3 linked regions of the Rattus norvegicus genome follow. Each later gene encodes a partner of the first gene's protein in a complex. Links are inferred from orthologs where the notes say so. Each region holds a gene or a part of one and is shown in the gene's direction. Other genes may lie near its edges. The genes, in order: Tcte1, Drc12 and Fbxl13.

Region 1 (3,750 bases):
CACACCAGAAGAGGGCATCGGATCCCATTACAGATGGTTGTGAGCCCCCATGTGGTTGGTGGAAATTGAACTCAGGACCTCTGGAAGAGCAGTCAGTGCTCTAACCACTGAGCCATCTCTCCAGCCCCGAGAAACTGAGTTTAGATGCACACTTTATGGATGGCTGGAGAGATGGCTCAGAGGTCATGTGCACTCAGTGTTCTGTTCTCACCGAGGGACTGAATTCAGTTCCCAGCACCCATGTCAGGCTACCCACAACTGCCCGTAACTTCAGCACAGGGCCTCTGTGTGCACGTGTGCGCACACACACACACACACACACACACACACACACACACACACAATCTTTAAAGACTACCCGTTCAGTATCAGCTGTGCAACATCAGGCAAGTCAGGGACCGTTCTGTGTTTCATTTTCCTTCAAAGGAAAAAAAAGAAGATGAAAATGGGCTCTTACCTCCAAAGCGTGTTTTTTTTTTCTTAATGACAAATGAGTTAATATCCAACATGAGTACCTGGTACGTAGCCATGATAATAATTATTGAACAGCTATGGTCTAAACTTTGGGGCTGCTCCTGTACACACGGTGGCCCTTAGAATACATTATTTTATCAACTCCTCTAATAATCCTGTTGGTAGTTACTGCCCTCATTTCACAGGCAACATCTGGGATTCAGAGATGTTTGCTCGCTTGCCCAAAGCCACACAGCCAGTCTCCGAGATCCTCATCTGGTTCTACTCCACTCCAGAGACTGATCCTCAAGCACCGCTCTGTGCCACTTAATTCCCCCCAGGTAACACTGTCTCCTTCCTCTTGCTCCAGCTAGGACCCCGCCCCCAATCCTGTATCCTGCCTGCAGTAAGAAGCTTCCTGTTGCCAGGTTGCCAAGGTTCCTACCCTTGCCTCACTGCCAGCAGTCAACATGCAGGAAACCTCAACAACAGCGTCCGACCCTTCGTCTCGCAGCCAATCCGCTTTCAACATCCAGCGCCAGGTCTCTACTTTGGGTAGTACCAGTCCAGGACCCGTGTCCTTGAAGACTAGCACCAGCCCTGCCCCAAGTCAGCTGAAGACCAAGACCACAAATGTCCGTCGCATGCGCAGGATCATCTCCGAGGACCCGGAGTGGTCGCTGGCCATTGTACCTCTCCTTACAGAGCTCTGCATTCAACACATTGTCAAGAACTTCCAGAGTGAGTCCACGTGATCTGGGCCGGAGGAGGTGGGGACCACCACACCCAAGCCTGGAAGCATTCTCAAATCTACTCCCACCCAACTGAGTGGTGTCTCCTGCCATGTGTACGCACGCACACGCATGTGCACGTGCACGCGCGCACACACACAAACACGCATGCACACGTGCATACACACGCACTCAAACCAAACACAGACACGTGCACGCGCACGAGCACACCCACACATAGGCACATGCGTGCACGCACACACACACCACGTACATGCACATGCACACAAACTGAACACAGACGCGTGCACACATGTGCACACACACAAGCACACATGCACACGTGCATGCACACCCACACAAACAGACGCCTGCGCACACATCTGATAGAGTCCTCTGGGATGCAAATGGCTTCCTGGTTTCCTCCACTCCAGCTCCTTCCAAAGAGAACTAGCTGGCCTCTCCTACTCTGTGGGACAAGGGCTTCCCGAGAAATGGGCCATCTATCTAACATAGCATGTCGATGTGTGCCCCAGCAAGCTTAGATGAACTCCAGGAGGCCAGGGCCATGTCTGACTTCTTCATTTTTAAGGATGTATTGGGGGTGGGGAGAGCTCTCACCATGGAATGCAGTGCACATACAGAGACTCATGACGTCAGCTCTCCCTCCTCCCACCTCTGCATGAGTTCTGGGGTGGGATTCAATTTTGCTCAGCATGCATTTTTTTTACACCCTGATCCATCTTTTTTGGCCCCATGTTTTCTTCCTTTTTTCTCCCCAGCAGCATCTGGCACATAGTAGGTGTTAAAATACATACAGTAATTCTGAAATGAATGAGTAAAGTCTGACTGGGCGTCTCAGAAGTCAGACTGGATGATACGTTAAGAACTGGCCCTGAGATTCTATCTGTTCTTCTCTGGGTGGGTCCGCTTGAGACCAGATACTGCCCAATGCAATTGCCAGTTAGTTGCAGGCAAGAGCGCCTCAAAGAGTGTCTCTTTATGAAACCGTTTCTCCTCTCAAAGCAAAGTTCCCAAGATCACAAAGGATCTTCCAAGACAGCCCCGGGGCACTGTGTTGTGACGTTCCCAGCATGGTGGCTGACCCTGTTTTCCTTCCTCCCTTCCCAAAGACAACCCCATCCTGAAGCAGCTGCTCCCAGAGCACCAAAAGAAGGTCTTGAGCAGCCTGCCCCCTGAGCTGCCTTTGTCGGTGACGGCTAACTTGATTGAGGATGAGAATTATTGGCACCGCTGCTGCATCAAGCGCTGGTCCGTGTGCCACGTGTCCAAGCACGGCGACAGCTGGAAGCGTATGTTCTTTGAAAGACACCTGGAGAACCTGCTGAAGCTCTTCATCCCAGGGACCACGGACCCCAACGTGATTCTGGACCTGGTGCCCCTCTGCAGGAACTACGTGCGCCGCATCCACGTGGACCAGTTCCTCCCACCTGTGCGGATGCCGACCCCGCCTCAGGGAGAGGAACAGTCGGACTCTGGCAGTGAGGGCGAAGGGAACGAGCCTGAGAAGAACCACTACCAGCTGCAGGCTCTGGTGGGTGGCCTCAAGTACCTGGAGGAGCTGGACCTGGTGTATGGCGTCAAAGACTGCGGCATGAATTTTGAGTGGAACCTCTTTCTCTTCACCTACCGAGACTGCCACTCTCTAGCAGCCACCATCAAAGCTTGTCACACTCTCAAGGTACCGCAGCCCGCTCCCCCCCCCCCGCCCCCAAATCGCCTGCCTCCTCCTTTCTCATTGCCTCAGGGGTTGCTTCTCCCTGCCTGTTCCTCTCCTCCCACCATCTTCTCCCATCTCCTTGCATTCATTCAGTAGAGAAGGGAATTGTTTAGATATTTGGGTTCGTTTTTTTTTTCTTTTGAAACTCTGTTGAGAAAGGGTCTCACATGTCTTAGGCAGGCCCAGAACTTGATTGCAGCTAAAAATGACCTTGAATTTCTGACCTCCTGCCTCTGCCTTACATACACAAACACGACCAAGTGCTGTCATCACAGATGACGCCACTACGCCCAGTCTAAGTGATACTGAGGATGGATCCAAATGAAAAACGCCCAGGCTTGGGGTGCAGTTCAGAGGCAAAGAGTGTCTGTAGCATGTGCAAAGCCATGGGTCTGGCCCCTGCCACTGGGAAAAGCTAAAACGCACTCCACAGCAGGTCTACTGTACTGCTTAACTTGTCTCCTGGCTGTGATTAAAATCCCTGGCAGAACCAACTGAAGGGAGCTGACAGTCATTTGGTTACAGTTTTCAAGGCATGGTTCACCACAGAGGGGGAGCCATGGCGGCAGGAGCTTGAGGCGTTGGCCAAGCAGAGAGCATGGAATGGGGATTCTCAGCTTTCTCCTTTTTATCCAGCCCAGGACATGCGCGCCCGTGCGCGCGCGTGCACACACACACACACACACACACACACACACACACAATTAAAGTTTAACTAGATAAACCGGGCAGTGGTGGTGCACACCTTCAATCCCAGCACTCAAGAGGCAGAGGCAGGTGATCTCTGAGTTTGAGGACAGCCTGGTCTACAGAATGAGTTCCAGG
Region 2 (3,750 bases), on another chromosome or scaffold:
GGACTAGTGGACCTCGAAGGCTCTCCTCTAGACGTCTACAGTCTGTTGGCTGAATTTTAACTCGAGTCACCGTCGCCCTAACTCTCCTCTGAACAAAAAGTTCAGTGCCACAAATCTCCCTGTTAGGGCTGGAGTTGGCCTCTCTGATAGTTGGCTCAGCAGTTAACAGTTAACAGCACTTGTTCTTAAAAAGAACCAGAAACCAATTCCCAGCACCCACTTGGTGGTTCACAACCATCCCATAACTGTAGCCTGAGGGAATCTAAGGTCCTCTTCTGACCTCCACAGACACCCACATGATGCACATACATGCACTCAAGTGAAGCACTCATACACACAAAATAACAAAATAAATAAATTTATTAAAGAAAAGGAAAGTTTTATAAAAGCCTCTAAGACAGAGGTAAAGAGAAGGTAAGTGTCACCACATTTCTCCCTTTGCTTAATCTCCCCAATTCCAGCAGTTAACCCCTTCACTGCTTTGTCTGTCCTAAGCAAAATATATTCCTTTTTAGTTTAGCCAACTTTTACAGCCAAACTACAGAAAATGTTAGACTTAATTTACTTCAGTATCCTCAAAGCCAAACACCTGGTAGAAAGCCTTAAATGTCTACTTGTTAAATCAACAAATTAAATCAATCAGAGAAGAAAACAGAGGTCAGAAGATGGCATCAGATCCCATGGAGCTACCAATGGTTCTGAGCCACCATGTGGGTGGTGTAAACCAAACCCAGGTCCTCAGCAAGAGCAGCAGCCGCCAGTGCTCTGAACTGCTGAGCCATTGCTCCAGGCCCCTCCTGAGTCTTCTCTTATTCCTCAAAAGCCCAAAGTGGCCTTGAACTCAGTAATCCTCCAGCCTCAGTCTTCTGAGTTGTAGGTTTTAGGCATGAGTCATCAGATTCCTATTTCAAAGTTTTCTTATCCTAAAATATCTTTGGTTTGGATATAAATATTCATGAGCTGCTTTATAAAGGCCAGGGACACCATCTCTAACTTTGACCCTCTTTTGAATTAAGTCAACATTTATTGAGCACCTTTTGTATACAGTGCTTTGTCATCCATTTTCACATTTAAGGTCACAGCAAACACAAGGAGCATATGTTATTTTCCCTCTAAAGATAAAGGAGCTGGAGAAAGGGTTCAATGGTTAAGAACGTTGCTGCTCTTCCTAAGGGCCTAGCTTTGATCCCAGCACCCACATGGTGACTGGAAAACATTATAATTCCAGTTTCAGGGGATCTGGTCTAATACCCTCTTCTGGTCTGGACTGCACAGGCAAATGCGCGCGCGCGCACACACACACACACACACACACACACACACACACACACAGAGACTGAGAGGCAGAGACAGAGACAGACAGAGAGGAAGATGTTTTAAAAACAGATATAAGGGGCTGGAGAGATGGCTCAGCGGTTAAGAGCACCCGACTGCTCTTCCAGAGGTCCTGAGTTCAATTCCCAGCAACCACATGGTGGCTCACAACCATCTGTAAAGAGATCTGATGCCCTCTTCTGGTGTATCTGAAGACAGCTACAGTGTACTTATATATAATAAATGAATAAATCTTATATTTAAAAAAAAAACAGATATAAAATTAAAAATAAATACATCTATAAAGATAAACTAAACACTGAACCATGCTAGGTGGTACAAGTCTGTGACACCAACCCTGAGAGGGAGAAGCAAAACAATATGGATCTCAAGGTTTTCCTTGGCTACATGGAGATTTTAAGGCCAGCCTGGGTCAAACATTTAAGACAGGGTGATTCAGAGAGCCTCGTCCCACACTAAGTAAAAAGCAGCAGACTTTGGCCCATCTGCTGTCTCAAGCCCTCCATGTACCCTGCCACCCCTCAGGGAGTCTATAGAGACCTCAGGAAAGCAATGACCCTGGAAGTCTCTAGTGGCCTCTGTGAAGCTGCCTCTTAGGCGCCTTCAGTTGCTGTTCTTGGTTTACAGTGTCACTGTCCTGTCTTCTCTTTCTCCCTGCCCGCTGCCTAGAAACATGCCAAAGGGAGGCCAAGACCGCAAGGGAAGAGGCTGAGCGAGCCCTCCGAGAGCAAGATGGAACCCTGACTGAGCTTCGCGCCCATGTGGCACACATGGAGGCCAAATATGAGGAGATCTTGCATGTAAGCACCACTACCTGTCAGCCGTCTCCTAATTCTCATAACCCTCCATCCCTTTGCCCCCAATTGATGTGATAACCCATGACCTAAGGGGGCCGTGCTCTGTCCTAAGTGTAAAGAGAAGGCATAACCGTTGACAGAGCAGTGACTTGTAATCCCAGAACCTGGGCAGCTAACACAGGGAGATTTTGAGCTACAAAGGCCAAGAGGCACTATAATGTACTATGCACCTGCTACACTGTGAGATCGAGACTCAAAATAATCAGGGGATTACGTCGTTATATGGTGTCAGGACTATACACCAAAATAGAGATATAGGTCGATATCTAGCCTAGTATGCAAGGCCATGAGTTCAATTCCAGGCACAGAACTAGGACCAGGGATAGGAAGAGGAGTGAGGAGAAGGAGCAGGGAAGAAAAGGAGTGCCGCAGTCTTGTAATCCTGCTATTCAGGAGAATGAGGCAGACAAGTCATAGGTTCAAGGCCAACCAAGCAAGGTACAAAGTTCAAGGCCAGCATAGGCAGTGTAGTAAGAGACTGTATCTCAAAATACAAATTAAAAGAGCTCTGGATACACAGCCCTGGGACAGGATACTTGTCTAGCATGTGTGAGGCCTGAGTGTTGGGGAGTTGGGGACAGCAGGCAGCAGCCAGGCATGATGGTTCACGTTTGAAATCTAATACTTGGGAAGATGAGGCAGGAGGTTTCTGAGTTCGAAGCTAGCCTGGACTACAAAGCAAAGTTATCTTACAAAAAGGAAGGAAGGGAGGGAGGGAGGGAGGGAGGGAGGGAGGGAGGGAGGGAGGGAGGGAAGTGAAGCACTCTTACTAATCAAGCCAGGCAACCTGAGGTGATGCACTCCTTCCCTCCCTCCCTGAGAGCTGAAAGCTTGCTGTTCACAGGACAACCTGAACTGTCTCTTGGCCAAGCTGAGAGCTGTCAAGCCTCAGTGGGATGCAGCCACGCTGAGGCTCCACACCAGACACAAGGAGCAGCTACGGCGATTTGGTCTCAACCCCCTGGATCTTTGAGGCCACTGGCCTCAAATCTCTAAATATCAATATCAATAAAGCAACCTGATGTAGAAGTCAATAGAACTGTAGATTGTGGCCTCTGGCAGTGAGGACATCTATTTTCTAGGTTAACCCATTGTCCCATTGTCCTAACCCCTGAGTGATAAGAAATAGACAATGTTCTAAACCCTTTCCTACAGAAACTAGATCCCATTCCCTATAGCCTGGAGTACCTTCAGTCCCTTCAAACTGCCTTGGCTTAAGTGGGCACGGTAGTGCATGCCTTTAATCCCCACACTTGGGAGGCAGGGGGATCTCTGAGTTTGAGGCCAGCCTGGTCTACAAAGCAAGTTTCAGGACAGCCAGGGCTATACGGAGAAACCCTGTCTTGAAAAACCGAAACAAAACAAAACAAAACTATTTTGGATTATCCTGACCAATAAAACACAAATCCAGATATCCAGATGTGTGTGTGTGTGTGTGTGTGTGCGTGCGCGTATACATTTATTTATTTATTTATTTATTTATTTATTTATTTATTTATTTATTTATTTGAACAGTAGCATACTTGTACTAAAGTGCTCATATAGATGTCAGAGGACA
Region 3 (3,750 bases), on another chromosome or scaffold:
TAACATTAGTAGATAAAATGTTTTATCTACTAATTTATTAGTAGTAAAATGTTTTAATGATTACTCAATTTAAAAACAAATACAAATGGGGGTTGGGGATTTTGCTCAGTGGTCGAACGCTTGCTAGGCAAGGCCCTGGGTTCGGACTCCAGCTCCGGGGGAAAAAAAAAAAAGACAAAAGAAACAAATACATTTCTCTGCCTTTGAGGAAAGCAGGTTTTGGTCGGCAGACCAAATAGTTTTCCCAACAGTTTTCACGACCTAAACGATCCTTTCAGAAGGTGTGTCTCCTGTAGGCTGAGGTTCTTTATTTCCAACACACACACCCATGTTGCAGGGATGCTACGGATGACTTAAAGGTACTAGCACCTAAGACAGGTGCTGGCAGAATTGCACCTCAGGGATCCTTTCTTCATAAAGCAGCGAGCAGAGTTTCAACCTGGACTTGAGGCCCCTAAGAACGTTCTCACACAGTAAGGGACACCTCTTTGGTAACAACACAAAGGCCCAAACTTTAAAATGAGAAGCAATCTATTTAGCTTGGAGAAACCTCAGCTCTCCGCTGTGAAGCCGGAGGGAAGTAATAGGGCACTTCGGGCGATGTTTTCAGTCCTTATTTTAAACAAAGAAGTGGGAGCAGGGAAGCGGCTCAGGACCCACCCAAGGCAACTTGGGCTTCCAGACTGTCTACCTCTAGCCTTCCTCCCCATGCAGTCGCGAGTGTCTAAGGCACCTCTGATCTAGCCTGTCCAGAGGTGGTTCCCGAACCTCGAACCAGTCCACATGCCGGGCAGCCCATCGCCTCACCTGCGGACCGCGAAGGGCGCAGTCGGCGCCCGCCTCGCCGCGGTCCCCGAGTCAGCCGGTAGATACAGTAGCAGGCGCCAGCGCCCAGGACTAGCCCGGCTGCCACCCAGCCCACGTCCCGCGCGCCGCCCATACTGCTGCCACCGAGCTGCAGGGAGCCGGGGTGCCAGGGCCACACGCAGGTGCAGCTGGGCCAGAACCAGCCCAGAGAAAGGAAATGGGGTTGGAGCTCCGCCTTCCGGAAGCCGCCCTGCTGAGGTCGGAAGCCCTCCCACTCTGCTCGTTGCCCTCCCTAGTGCTTGCATCTTTTTCCTGGATCAAGTGGGGGACCGCCCTGCTTGAGTCCCGCCCCCTAGCTCCGCCCCAATACTTTCCAGTCCAGCTATGCCCCGCCTCCCACTTTACTTCGCCCCGCGGGTCCTGTCCTGCCCCTGCCCCTCCCAGCGCTGCCCGCTCCTCCCCGTTCTGTCCGCCCCTCCCCATTCCCCCTGCCCTTCCCCCCCAGGTTCTTTCTTCATCTCCGGATTGGCTGAGACTGTTTGGCTCCTCCTTGGTTGCCAGGCAACGCACCGACGCGTCCCTCCGCTGCAGCGTGGAGCAGTAACCAACAAAACGCAGTAGTTTCTCAGTCCTGCTTCTGACTATGGCTTCACTACGCAACGCCCCCCCCAGGCTAAGGAACTACTTCAAGGACAACTACATTCCTCAAATCTGTGAGGTATTGGAGCTACATAGCCTCTCACACAGAGGGCAAGGGAAGAGACCGGGAGAGGCAAGGAGATTCCCAGAGCTGGAGATAGGAAATAGAGGATGGGGGAGTTGAAGTCTATTTGGGGTAGGTTAGAGAACACCGAAGGGTGACAGTGGCTAAAGCAGGGGCGGAGATGACAAAGGAAGGGGAGGGGGAGGGGGAAAGTGACAATCTCCAGGGGGAAAGAGCACAAGGCCTGGGTTGGAGACCTCAAGTGTCAAGTACTAAGTGCTATTAGGAAGAGAGACGAACAAGAAGTGAGTGGTGAGCCACTTGAAGACAAAAGACTGCAGGGGTTCTGGGTATAAGCATTTCCTCGCTCGTTGTTAGCAGGAGACACAACCTCACAATATACCTTTTTAGAGATCGCCACGCAGGCAACACCCGAGGTGTTGGTTTTAACAAAGACATGAGTTTCGGTGCCAACCTATATAAAGATAAGTTGGTTTCATTAAACTCAGAAACATGTGCTCCAGTAGATAGAGTAGAACACACCTGATCAAGACAATTGTGGACTTCTGAAGGGAGAGTCCAGCTTATGTCTTCACAATGCAGATATAGGTTTCTTTTTTCTTTTTCTTGTGGCTTTCAAGGTTACCTTTCTAAATGTTGCCAAGAAGCCACTACCTCTTTTCTTCTTCTTTTTCTTTTTCTTAAGTAATTCATTCACTTTACATCCCGAACAAAGCCCACCCCCCCTACTTTTCTCTCAGTCTTGTCCTTACAAATCCCTCCCCCAACACTCCCTCCCCTTATCAGAGGAGAACGGGAAGACTTCTCCTCTGATAACTTGGGACATCTAGTCCCAATAGGATTAATACTCCTTTTTTTAAAAAAAAAAAACTGATATCACCCAAGAGTATAGTTTGTAACAAGGTTAGATTAAAAATTGAAGTTTCTTTTTCATTCAGTAACTAAAGTTGTATAGTGGATTTATGAGCAACTTCATTTAGTCCTGAGAGTGGGTAGGCCAGGAATTCAAGGTTATGTGTTGTTTTGACTTATGTCAGCACACCCTAATTACTGGTCTTGTCATCCTTGATTGATTGAGGTGTCTGGGGATACAGCAACTAGCCCCAAGTGAGAGCAGTTTAGTTACTGTCCATTAGGTCCTTATTTAGCAGACTTAAGTCCTTTTTGGTCAGTGAAAGGCTTCCTCTCTACCCTGTGCTTCCAGTCACTATAATCCCCTTTCTGCCCTGCCTCAGGAGGACAGTATGGTATTGAAAACCAGGTTTTATACTCCCAGGAGCTGAGCAATCGCTGGTGACTCCCATTCGCCTGCACATTGGTGTATGTTGTGTGGTGATGCTGTCAGAGTTCTGAGCACATCGCTTCTCGGCCTTTTGGCTAAGATCAAGTGCAGAGTTCTGAGCACGTGCTGTGATGGGGAGAATGAAGGAGTTCTAGGGGAGGAGAGAAGTGTGCAATTCAATTTTCAGGGAAAGTGGGTACAGCTCTTAGTTTTAGGATGGTTTTGCGCCGTGATTTTTATCCAGAGGATTTTATCCAATCACCTCTGCTCACACATTAACAGCAGGTGCAAGACAGGCCTTGAGCGCACTCTCACTTTCCCTCAGAGCCCAGTAAGGTGGCTTCTGTTCTGCCAGGTCTCTCTGCATGTACATGTCTGATTCAAATCCCTGAGACCTTTGCTCTTGTAAAAGCCACCTGCAAACACGTGAAGCACATATTTTATCAAAGACAGCTATGCGTGTTTGACCTCTTCTGAACATAACCCGTGTGCTCTGAGTAAACCTAGTTGTTCCTCCACAACGCCGTTTCCCTACAGACTTGTGTACACTCTGATTAAGGAACACCCAAACCAAAGCCTGCATGCCAGTGGTAGGTGTAGTTTTCCTTGCCAGGGAGACTGAAGCTGAGACTTGCTTGAGCCCAGGCATAGGAATGGTAACACCCAAAAATAAAAATAAAAAAAAAAAAACAGAACCAAAAAACAAACAAAACAAAACCCCAGCACCAAACTAAAACAACAAACACTTGCCTGAATTACTAAGCTTATTGAATCTGCTGATTGATATTTAATTTTCATTAGTTTTGGAATTGCTTAAATCTATTATTTTTACCCAATTTTTTCTCCTGTAGAAGCCCAAGCATGACTATAATAAGATTTTACCTTGACCTCTGTTTTAGCTTTGTCCTGTTAATTCGCTTTTGTGTTCTGGGTGCTA

What was found.
Region 2: Tcte1 (region 1) and Drc12 share a complex: the UniProt entries of both Homo sapiens proteins name them as parts of the nexin-dynein regulatory complex. The link is inferred for Rattus norvegicus from reciprocal best matches to the Homo sapiens genes DRC5 and DRC12.
Region 3: Tcte1 (region 1) and Fbxl13 share a complex: the UniProt entries of both Homo sapiens proteins name them as parts of the nexin-dynein regulatory complex. The link is inferred for Rattus norvegicus from reciprocal best matches to the Homo sapiens genes DRC5 and FBXL13.

What each region holds. Positions count from the first base shown.
Region 1 is NC_086027.1:22,967,496-22,971,245, reverse strand, and holds the start of Tcte1 (dynein regulatory complex subunit 5), read left to right. Parts: upstream 1-854; 5' UTR 855-923; coding exon 924-1,194; intron 1,195-2,317; coding exon 2,318-2,886; intron 2,887-3,750. UniProt on the Homo sapiens protein: Component of the nexin-dynein regulatory complex (N-DRC) a key regulator of ciliary/flagellar motility which maintains the alignment and integrity of the distal axoneme and regulates microtubule sliding in motile axonemes.
Region 2 is NC_086026.1:53,477,559-53,481,308, forward strand, and holds the end of Drc12 (coiled-coil domain-containing protein 153), read left to right. Parts: intron 1-2,004; coding exon 2,005-2,135; intron 2,136-3,013; coding exon of another isoform or gene 3,014-3,019; exon of another isoform or gene 3,020-3,036; coding exon 3,037-3,165; 3' UTR 3,166-3,606; downstream 3,607-3,750. UniProt on the Homo sapiens protein: Component of the nexin-dynein regulatory complex (N-DRC), a key regulator of ciliary/flagellar motility which maintains the alignment and integrity of the distal axoneme and regulates microtubule sliding in motile axonemes.
Region 3 is NC_086022.1:14,305,717-14,309,466, forward strand, and holds the start of Fbxl13 (dynein regulatory complex subunit 6), read left to right. Parts: upstream 1-1,414; 5' UTR 1,415-1,450; coding exon 1,451-1,525; intron 1,526-3,750. Other genes in the region: Armc10 (armadillo repeat-containing protein 10), read right to left, coding at 808-940. UniProt on the Homo sapiens protein: Substrate-recognition component of the SCF (SKP1-CUL1-F-box protein)-type E3 ubiquitin ligase complex.